3 linked regions of the Arabidopsis thaliana genome follow. The protein of the gene in region 3 purifies or fractionates together with the protein of the main gene of each other region. This does not show direct contact. Each region holds a gene or a part of one and is shown on either strand. Other genes may lie near its edges.

What was found.
Region 1: the proteins of AT1G32880 (region 3) and BTF3 fractionate together in Arabidopsis thaliana (co-fractionation; one large-scale study listed by BioGRID). This does not show direct contact.
Region 2: the proteins of AT1G32880 (region 3) and AT1G73230 fractionate together in Arabidopsis thaliana (co-fractionation; one large-scale study listed by BioGRID). This does not show direct contact.

The regions. Positions count from the first base shown.
Region 1 is NC_003070.9:6,151,829-6,155,861, reverse strand, and holds BTF3 (basic transcription factor 3), read left to right. Parts: upstream 1-1,879; 5' UTR 1,880-1,996; intron 1,997-2,436; coding exon 2,437-2,504; intron 2,505-2,593; coding exon 2,594-2,742; intron 2,743-2,831; coding exon 2,832-2,888; intron 2,889-2,981; coding exon 2,982-3,020; intron 3,021-3,105; coding exon 3,106-3,290; 3' UTR 3,291-3,478; downstream 3,479-4,033. Other genes in the region: GER2 (NAD(P)-binding Rossmann-fold superfamily protein), read left to right, coding at 266-287, 420-1,384; EGY3 (ethylene-dependent gravitropism-deficient and yellow-green-like 3), read left to right, coding at 3,677-4,033.
Region 2 is NC_003070.9:27,539,673-27,543,666, forward strand, and holds AT1G73230 (Nascent polypeptide-associated complex NAC), read right to left. Parts: upstream 2,281-3,994; 5' UTR 2,148-2,280; intron 1,693-2,147; coding exon 1,625-1,692; intron 1,539-1,624; coding exon 1,390-1,538; intron 1,291-1,389; coding exon 1,234-1,290; intron 1,150-1,233; coding exon 1,111-1,149; intron 1,019-1,110; coding exon 834-1,018; 3' UTR 556-833; downstream 1-555. Other genes in the region: OCT1 (organic cation/carnitine transporter1), read left to right, coding at 1-437; AT1G73240 (nucleoporin protein Ndc1-Nup protein), read right to left, coding at 2,725-3,189, 3,286-3,663.
Region 3 is NC_003070.9:11,913,375-11,916,608, forward strand, and holds AT1G32880 (ARM repeat superfamily protein), read right to left. Parts: upstream 1,362-3,234; coding exon 1,236-1,361; intron 1,078-1,235; coding exon 950-1,077; intron 852-949; coding exon 554-851; downstream 1-553. Other genes in the region: NAC13 (NAC domain protein 13), read left to right, coding at 1-318.

The sequences.
Region 1 (4,033 bases), 5.8 Mb from region 3:
GGAAAAGTAAGCGAAATGGGCGGAGAGTGAGGTGACTATTTTATTTAGGCCCATGGGCCAGGATCCATAAACTGAATAACAAAATATCCGACACCGATTCAGATCGCCGGCGGATATTCAGATCTCCTCCACATTACATTCTCCAAGGAATTTAACCTTTACCTACAAATCTAAGCTTCTGTCGTTGACTTCGAAAACTGATATCTATAAGTCAAAATCCCCATTCTCAATCGCTCATCGTCTTGTAGAACTAATTGACTAAACAATGGCGGACAACACAGGATCCGGTACGTCCATCTCTCTATTTTATGTCTGAATATAATGTTTCATGTCTATATACGGAGTTTTGTGGAATTGAATTTAGATTTTCGTGGAAATTTTGGAACCCTAGGTCTTTGATCCCTCGTAATTCTGTGCAGAGATGAAATCAGGTTCGTTTATGTTAGAGAAATCCGCCAAGATCTTTGTCGCTGGACATAGGGGATTGGTTGGATCTGCCATTGTCCGCAAGCTCCAGGATCAGGGTTTCACCAATTTGGTCCTTCGAACCCATTCAGAGCTTGATCTCACTAGCCAATCAGATGTTGAATCTTTCTTTGCTACAGAGAAACCAGTTTATGTCATCCTAGCTGCTGCTAAAGTCGGTGGGATTCATGCTAACAACACATACCCAGCTGATTTCATTGGGGTCAATCTCCAAATCCAGACCAATGTGATCCACTCTGCTTATACACACGGTGTGAAGAAACTCCTCTTCCTTGGTTCATCTTGCATTTACCCCAAATTTGCTCCTCAGCCGATTCCCGAATCTGCGCTTCTTACCGGTCCGCTCGAACCGACAAACGAATGGTATGCGATCGCCAAGATCGCGGGTATTAAGATGTGTCAAGCTTACCGGCTTCAGCATCAGTGGGATGCTATCTCCGGTATGCCCACGAATCTGTATGGTCAGAATGATAATTTCCACCCGGAGAATTCCCATGTGCTGCCTGCTCTCATGAGGAGGTTTCATGAAGCCAAAGCCAATAATGCTGACGAAGTTGTGGTTTGGGGAAGTGGAAGCCCGTTGAGGGAGTTTTTACATGTCGATGATTTGGCTGATGCTTGTGTTTTCTTGATGGATCAGTACAGCGGATTTGAGCATGTGAATGTAGGAAGTGGTGTTGAAGTGACGATCAAAGAATTGGCTGAGTTGGTGAAAGAAGTTGTTGGGTTTAAAGGAAAGCTTGTTTGGGATACCACAAAACCAGACGGGACACCAAGGAAACTGATGGATAGCTCGAAGCTTGCGTCTTTGGGATGGACACCGAAGATTTCGCTTAAAGATGGCCTCTCCCAAACTTATGAATGGTATTTGGAAAATGTTGTGCAGAAGAAGCAGTAAAAAAAACAAGGTCCAAAACACAAAGCAATATTCATTCTCTTTACACGTGAATGTTTATGCGTTTGATTTTTGGTTCTATACAGATCTCTCTATCTCTTTTATGTAATTTTTGTATTCATGGATTTCATACAGTTCAAGTTAAGCAAACTTACTTTGTAATAAATGTACCATTGTTGTTGAGATTATCAATAATCGAATAGCTTTCTTCTCTAAATTTTAGTCAACTAAACAAGTCTGTTCATTGATAAACTCATTTAGATAAATTTGTGGATTTTGAAATTCTGGTAACCAAAAGATTATGGTTTGCTACGCGCTAATACTGGTGATTGATTACGGCACAAAAGAGCCCAGTAAATAATTATTGGCCCAGTTTAGTTTTGGGCCTTATGGGCCAATATTATCATCGAGCATCCAACGGTAGTGATGGAGATTTCTTTATGGAATATCTGATATCCACCGTTAGATTAAGAGACGAGGTTGGCTCCGAATAGCATATAGTTAAAGGGCAAAACCCTGCGCCGCCCGCGTCTCTCCTCTCTCTGTTTCTTTTCTTTTTGTTTCATTTTCTTATCTCCTCACACTCTTCGAACAAGGAAGAACCCTAATCTCAAGGTAAATTCATTATCACTGTAATTTTCCTTTCTATTAGTGTTTTATCTCTCCGGTTCTAGGGTTTCTCTAATCCCCGATTTTGCAAAATGTCAGATATCTTTCTTTCTTGATTCATTTCGCTTCTTTCTGTAGATAGGATTAGTTTTTGTCGGTGTTTGGGAATTTACTGGGTTTTCAACTTCTCTGTGTGTTTGATTGGGGGATTTGGTATACCTAATCGATTGAAAATGATTAAATTTAGGTTAAAACTACTAGTCACATCACCGTGTCTTCATACGCATCTGAGTTTAAATCTGTTCGCGCTTACTTTCTTCTCACTAGTTTCTTGTATAATAAGAAGTTTTTGTGAATGTATTATTAGCAGTTAATGTGTTCATTGATTCTTTTGGAAGTGATTTGGGGATTGATGGATTTTGCTTCTTATTATGGTTTATACACAGATGAATAGGGAGAAGTTGATGAAGATGGCTAATACCGTCCGCACTGGCGGAAAGGGTACTGTCAGAAGGTATAGAGTTTTATTCAACCAATTTCATTGTTCAATACTTAGCATTTACTATGATTTGTGTTATGAAACCATTCGATTTTTACTTGCAGAAAGAAGAAGGCTGTGCACAAGACCAATACAACTGATGACAAGAGGCTTCAAAGCACTCTTAAGAGAATTGGAGTTAACTCCATTCCCGCTATTGAAGAAGTTAACATCTTTAAGGATGATGTTGTTATTCAGTTCATCAACCCTAAGGGTAAGTCATTTTTAACCATTTTTTATCTATACATCAGAACCTTTTTTTCATGTTACTGATCATTGTTCCTCCTTTGAATGTTACTACAGTTCAAGCTTCAATTGCTGCAAACACATGGGTTGTTAGCGGTTCTCCTCAGACCAAAAGTATTGCATCTCATAATATCTCTTAATCTCTACTTTCTTGTTTCTTCTTCATTTCATCTTCTCTGATTAATGTAAACGTGTTGCTTCCTGCAGAATTGCAAGATATCCTTCCTCAGATCATCAGCCAACTTGGTGTGTACCATGTAACTGTACAGCTCTTAAATGTTCTTCATCGATCCTAAGGTCTCTAACTTTATGTTACTTTGATCTCTTTCAGGACCAGACAACATGGACAACCTGAAGAAGCTAGCAGAACAGTTCCAGAAACAGGCTTCTGGTGAAGGTAATGCCGCCTCAGCAACCATACAAGAAGAGGATGATGACGATGTCCCAGAGCTTGTTGGAGAGACATTCGAAACTGCTGCTGAAGAGAAAGCACCAGCTGCTGCTGCTTCTTCTTAGAGAGAAAAGAGCGAGACCACATCCAAAAAAAAACCGCACTTTGATTTTTACATATCTTTATAATATGTTTGTTCGCTCGATCCTTTTTGTAGTTTCCGACCAGAATCTTGTTTTCCATCTAATGACTTAAGGTTTTTATCCAATTATTTGATGTCTTATTGATTCTTTGACAGCAAATCAGGTCCTCGTCTTCTTCTTCCTCTTCACTATGTGGATTAGAAGATTTTGATGTGACACATTGTCTTGTTGCATAAAAACCATTCCACCTGTACTGTATGAGTTTCTTCTCAAACTTTCCAGACATTTCATCACTTTCTCTACAAATTCTCTCTCAGAGACATGTCTATTCGTCGTCAAATCTCAATCTTTCTGAGTTTTCGTAAACCATGGCTTCTCTCTTTGTTTCTACTCCATCATCTTCCTTAACTCTTAAATCCTGTCACAGTTTGCATCTTCGTCGCTTTGACAGAGCAGAATTTTCGAACTTTGGGAAAGCTTCTGTGAATCAGACAACGAGAAGCAGACATTCTTTGAGATGTTCAGCGGAAGATGATCGCGTTCGTGAACCTGTGAACGAAGCTCCTTCTCCGGTGGCGTTAGCGGAGGAGCAAAAAGAAGACCACGATAACAATAATGCGCCGCCTTCTCCAGAGAGCAGTGAAGAAGAGGAGGAAAAGAAGTCGAAGCAGCAAGAGATGGATTGGAAAACAGACGAGGAGTTCAAGAAGTTTATGGGGAATCCA
Region 2 (3,994 bases), about 16 Mb from region 3:
TATTCTCGAATTCATCATACCTCGCCGGATTCGCGTGTCTGCTCTGCGCGGTTCTCTCGATCCACCGCGTGATCCGTGCGATATCTGTGGCAAAATGGTTACAACTTGCAGTTGAGGCGGTTGGGTTCATGGCATCCTCGACAGCGTATGACGTCCTATATGTCTACTGCGTAGAGCTGTTCCCAACAAACGTTAGGAACACTGCTGTCTCACTTTTGCGTCAAGCGTTTATGCTAGGAGCGTCTGCAGCACCACTGCTAGTTGCGTTAGGAAGGGAAAGCGCAATGATGTCGTTCATCGTGTTTGGTGTTGCATCAGTGCTGAGCGGCATCGTGAGTCTCTGGCTACGAGAAACTCGAAACGCTCCGCTTTACGAAACACTAGCACAACAGGGGAAAGCGGAAGAGATCGAAAACGAAACAATCATGATTACTTGATTGCATTCAGAGTGTTGTATTTCTATGGAATGTTTACATCCAATAATTGGAAATATGTAAAATCTTTGGAATTTCCATTTAAATGTACGAAACTGTTGATTGTTCATCTCAAGACATCGTTGACTCAAAACAAAGGACTGTGTTGCAAGAAGTGTATGAAGCGACAGGACATAGTAGTACTCATTTGAACAGGTGGTAAACAAAAAGCGATCTAACCTTAATAAAAGGAAAATTGCTGTTCGGACCAAAAAGCATCAAGTGATAATAAAACCAAGTCTTTCTGTTCGCAAGCATTAGAGAAAACAAGAATCTGACAGTGCTCAGAAGAGGTCGAGCGACAAACATTTTTATGATGGGTTTTGCAGGTGAGCTCTTCTCCTTCTTCTTCCTCCTCCTCTAAGAAGCAGCAGCTTTGGGAGCCTCTTCAGTAGCAGGGGTCTCGAAAGTCTCTCCCACTACAAGATCTGGGACATCATCATCATCGTCCTCTTCTTGGATTGTTGCTGGGACATCACCTGCACCTGGAGCTTGTTTCTGGAATTGCTCTGCTAGCTTCTTCAGGTTGTCCAAGTTATCTGGTCCTGCGATTATCAAAGCAAGAAAACAAAATGTTAACTTAAGGGACCACTGGTTTGGGAAAGGACATCAGAGTGTAACACTTAATGCTGCATACCAAGTTGGCTGATAATCTGAGGAAGAATGTCTTGCAATTCTGCAGGATAATTCACATTCCGAGATTAGACTATGCATAAACCGAGAATAGTATTGGATCAACAATGAGGATACAAACACTTACTTTTCGTCTGTGGTGTACCACTCACAACCCATGTGTTAGCAGCAATTGAAGCTTGAACTGTGATAGCAACATTAAAACAGAGACACAACAACCATTAATACAATAAATTTTATACGAAACCTGAGATTTATAAAGCCATAAAATTTGATGTTTTACCTTTAGGGTTAATGAACTGAATGACTACATCATCCTTAAAAATGTTAACTTCTTCAATGGCGGGAATGGAATTGACTCCAACTCTCTTAAGAGTGCTCTGGAGCCTCTTGTCATCGGTTGTAGTGGTCTTGTGAACAGCCTTCTTCTTTCTGAAATGAGAGTCAAAATGTTTAGAGAATATAACATGAAAAATGGCAAAAACACAAATTCACAGAAAAGACATAAATGAGTATACCTTCTTACTGTCCCCTTTCCGCCAGTGCGGACAGTGTTAGCCATCTTCATCAACTTTTCCCTATTCATCTGTTTTTCAAAACAAACACACAAAGCTAAACCCATTTAGCCCAAAATGTATCTTATAAATTAAGCATATACAATAACTAATACTGTTATTAATTAGCCAATGACAAAAACAGTAATACTGAGCAATAGTCACAACCCACAAATTGATTACACTAGGATTATGAGAACAGTGCAGCGAGAAGAACAAAGCTCGTATTGTTACAATGAGCTTAACCTAAAGTTTCAATTTTTTCAATCGATTAGGTCACCATTACACAAACATTACTTTTAACTAACTAACAAGTTATTGGAAAACAAGATAACCAATATCAAAAACAGTAATCAATGAAAAAAAACATATGAATCGAGGAAGAACAAAAACAAAAAAATGATCTTGACCCTTGTGCTAAATCAGAAGGAAACAATCGAATATCTTGGAAATGAAATGAGTGAACGATTTGCTGAAGTGGGCTTACCTTGTTAATCGATTTCTAGGGTTCTTCGTTGGTCGAAGGGTATAAGAAGAAGATAAGGGAAGAGAGAACAGAGGAGAGAGAGATCCAAGCGGCGCTGGAGGGTTTTGCCCTTTAAGTAAATGCGATGTGTAATGTAGCCAATCTAAGCTTTAACCACTATACAATTATTATATTAATCATCATCCAACGGTCACGATCTCTCCTTCGATATTACTATTAGCCACGCCATGGGCCCTAATAAATCTCTGGCCCATTTCAGATTCTAATTTTGGTTTCCTTCGTAAATTGCGTAAGAGTTAGTTACTGTTAAGCATATAGAGAGTCTTCTGCAAAATTTATGTAATCAAGATTTAAGATGCAAAACTTACCATTAAAGTTTGATTCTTATATAATTTTCTAGTTTACCAAAAACAAGATTAATCCCAAATTTCTGCAAAATCGAGGGATTTCATTTTCCAATACAAGGCTTTTTGATCATGTAACAAAATACTCTAGTTCCTTTTTCTATCCAGCTCTTGAATCATGATGACACTTGTTACCACATTTAATCGAGGAATTGTACCTCTTTAATCTTCCATCAAGCTTGGAACTCGAGGAAGAGCTTAAGCTTCTGTAGGAGCATGTCGTTTGTTCCAAAAGGTGGTTTCTTGCTTCCAATCCAATCTCTACCAAGAAGTCCGGCTCTGTCGCTGTTGAGCATTTCATCGCGGAATGTGGATAGAATCTGGTATACTGATATCCTCAAAACATCTGTCGCTGCATATGCGTAGGCGTACATTGCGCCAATACTCCTTTTGATGGGTTTAACGTCTTTTCTGACCATACTCGAGGTCGCCCATTTGATACTAGCAGGTCCCATCAGTTGTTGAGGTGATTGAAGATTAGTCTTCTTCCCCATAAACGTTTCGATAGCTAGCAAAAGCGATAGAAGTGTTGAGACAACATCAGCGTTTCCACCAGACAGTTGAGCTACTCCGAGCCTGTCTTCCTTGTGAGAGATTGAAGTCAGGGATGCAGATGTTTGAGCACACCATGCATATAGCTGCAAATATCGGATACAGAGCAAACAGATTTTGGTTACAGCTACATGAAGAAATTATCACATAGAAAAGGGATCAAAATTTGAATTTCGTTTTACCTGGAAAGACTTAAGTGATTCGCCGAATTTTGGATCAATAAAGGACTCGGTTGGTGGCTGGAGTGGTGTCTGATAACCTTTTTCAGTAAAGGTGTGGTCTAGCCCAGAAGCTAACTTGGAGGCAAGCTCTTCCAAAGGCCTCAAGCATAGAGTAATTACTCTTTTGTACGTCTCGGTGGACTCCTCAAAGAAGGCAGCACGACGCCATGTGTCAACATTATTCTGAGACACCATGTAGAGATCAAGGTATGCAAGAGACTGCTCGAGGGAACCTGGAGCGCTCCCTTCTAAAGCAGCAAGAAGAGGCTCGCTTGGATTCGTTTCTGCTGCAGCAGATCCTTTTGGAGGAGCAAAGCTGAACCGTTTTGTGTGCAGAACCTGGATATGAAAACAACAATTATAACTAACTTCTTTTGTATCTAGAACCTGGAAAAGTAGCTGAAGTTTATGGATGTAACAAGTAATACACAGAGCAAACTCACCGATGAATACTTAAAGTTGTTTAGGTAGGAATAGAGTTAAGTTATTCAAGAAAAGTAAACATATCGATACAAATTTATATGAGTCTTCTTTGAACTGATCCACATACACAGAAGACAGACAGACCTTGGTATAGGCTTCCAAAACATAAATAGTAAAGACAGAAATGACTAACAAAACAGGAAAACAATTCTACACATACTATCAATGCAACATTTGATTGCAAACA
Region 3 (3,234 bases):
TCTAGTGTATGGACTTTCCTGGAATCCATTCCTGCAAAGCCAGCATATGCATCAGAGAATCCATTTGTGAAGCTGAACCTTGTTAGAATGTCAACCAGTGGTGGTCGTTTCAGGTTTACTTCTAAAAGCACAGGTAATAATGTTGTTGTTATGGATAGTGACTCAGCAGTGAAGAGGAACAAGTCTGGAGGAAACAACGATAAGAAGAAGAAGAAGAACAAAGGTTTCTTTTGCTTATCGATCATTGGGGCTTTATGTGCTTTGTTTTGGGTGATCATAGGAACAATGGGAGGTTCAGGGAGGCCTTTGTTATGGTGAGAACCGAAAAATCCAAGAGGTTAAGAGACATAAAGGCTTGGTTTTGTGTGAACCATTAGAGAGTCAAGTCATTGTAATTATTCTCTTGGATTATTAGATTCAGAAGCTGTTTAGTATCACAGTTTATGCTTGGAAGTTTTCTCTGGTATTGTTAAAAAAGTACCAATAGAAATAAGCAAAAGAATTTTCTTATCTTTTAGGATATTTGAACAAATGATGTTACTTAACTAGATTATTAACTTGGAGGTTGTTGTATATCCTCATCATCCTCTTCAAGCCAGTAAGTCTGCAGAATCTTCAAAGCCTTGTCGTAGATCTCGATGTTTTCGTGTCTTTGCAGGTTCAAAATCTTATCTAGCCCTTCCGCTTCGATCAGTCGAGTATACCAGCTCACGTCGTCTCCTGCGTTCTTTTCAGCCTCTCCAACCTTCAATGTGTTTTCCATTCCATCCAGACACTTTAAGATGGTTTTTACATCTGGACAAAACAGGATATCACATAAAGGTTTGATGCAGCTCTGCTCCACCATGTATCTGAATCACACCAATAAATGGAGATTGTGACTTTGATGATCATCTATAAGCATGTTAAGTTGAAAGTGCAAAAAGAAAGAAATAAGACAGGGACGTACTTGATTTGATCATGAGAACCAAGTAAGGTCGCATTTGAAATTGCGCATACAGATTCTTTCTTCATGTCAAATTCAGCATTCTGAGTCAGTTTGACCAAGGTTGGAATCAAATTTGCATCGATTACTGACTGTTATCACCAGGGGAAAACAGTTTAGTTTAGTGAGATAGCAAATAGACAAATTGTTTTATGTTGTGCACCTGAATCATTGTATATATATCAGAATCAAAGATTACACTGATCATCAATAAAAACATCAACTTGATGGGGGAAATTTTTCTTCTAACTTGAAGCTTAGGGAAACTTTCATCGAGAAGAAACTGAATGAGACGATGTACAGCTCCAGATCGTATCACTGTTTCGATAGGACCACGCATATCTTCTGCACATGTAATATAAGAAACATTACGCATATCTTCTGCACATGTAATATAAGAAACATTCGAGTGAATGAAGAATCTTTCAAATCGATCAAGAAAAAGAGTAAAAGAGAGATTTGATTTACTCTTCTTTTTTTTTTGAAAAAATGTTAAATTATATTCAAAAAAAAACAAAACGTTTTTACAACTCGTGCAACGTTTAGCAAAATGAGAAAAGCTGAGAAAAAAAATAGTTAGAAATTAAAGGTGTTTAGAGAATGTTTAGAGTGAGCTGTACGTTGCCCTTGTCATATCTTCGATCACCTGCTTATCTATCCAAGTTATCAAGTGTGACGTGGTGTTCGGTGTTTCTCCATGACGACGCCCATTCCTCTCTCTCCAAACTGTGTGTATTGTAGCTTGAAAGACATACCGGATTAAGAAACCATCGACTCGCTGTAATGACTTGTCTGAAACATAGGCCAGAATTTGTGGCCATTCCTTTGTGAATCTGGTCTTCCATAGCTTCTTAGCTACGTCACCCCAAATTGTCGAGACATAGTTGCAGGAGAAAAACAAATGATCACGAGTTTCCATAGTGTTAGTACAAAACACACAGAGACCCGATTCTCCTCTGTTCCATTTAACCATATGCTCCCCTGTTGAGAGCCTATCTTGGACCGCGAGCCAAGTACAAAACGAAAACTTTGGTGTGGCGTGATTGAACCAACCCCCGTTGTACCAGGGGACTGTGGGAGAAGGAGCTCTGATATGGTGCCACGTTTCTTTGGTAGAGAATGATGCATTGTACACATTATTTCGCCTTGTCTCTGTACTTTAGTATTTTTCTCCAAATCCAAGAGCCTGCATTTGTATTCTGCTTCAATGTCCAAAAATGCTTCCTCCTAAGAAGGTATGTGGTGACCCATTGAACCCATAAAGACTTGCTATTAGAAATGATTCGCCAGACCAACTTTAAACAACAAACATCATTAGCTTTTGTCAAGCTTCGCAAACCCAAACCCCCCTCTATTTTCGGCTTACAAACTTTTTCCCACGATATCTTTGCCTTCTTTGAACTCAGTTCTAAACCCGACCATAGGTAAGCGGAGCAAATCTTGTCAATCTCTCGGATACACTGTCTCGGTAAACGAAAAGCGCCTAGCCAGAAATTGCAAATACTCCAGAGGATAGATTGAATCAAGTTGAGCTACCTGCATATGAGAGGTAGCGTGAAGTCCACGACGCGATGCGTTTCCTAATCTGCTCAAGAAGAGGATCATAATCCTCAGCCATGAGTCTCTTAGTAACAAGAGGCAAACCTAAGTATCGAACTGGCAATTGACCTATATCAAAAGGGAAAAGAGCTGCAATCTCTGCTTTCACTAAAGGTGATACTCCTGCCATATACATTGTCGACTTCTCCATACTTATTTTTAACCCAGAGTACTTATAAAACTCATCAAAAACCTTCACTATACCCTATATGGATCTAACCTTACCATCCGTTAGAACCATCAAATCATCTGCAAAACTTAGATGAGTGAGCTTTAAACGTTGACAATGAGGATGGAAACCAAACTTGTGAGCTCCGGCAGCCTTATCCAACATCTTTGAGAGGACATCCATGCTTATGACAAACAGATATGGCGAGAGAGAGCAACCCTGACGTAAACCCCTTGCACTTTGGAAATAACCAGCGAGATCGCCATTTACTTGGACTGAAAAAGAGGCCGTAGTAATACACAGTTTTAACCAATGTATAAAAACCGCAGGAAAATTCATAGCCAATAAAACATTCAGCAGAAAAGCCAATTGGACCGAGTCAAACGCCTTCGAGATATCTATTTTAATAGCACAACGGGTAGAGACTTAATCTTTATAATAGTCCTTGACTAGTTCCGTAGCAAGTAACAGATTTTCGATG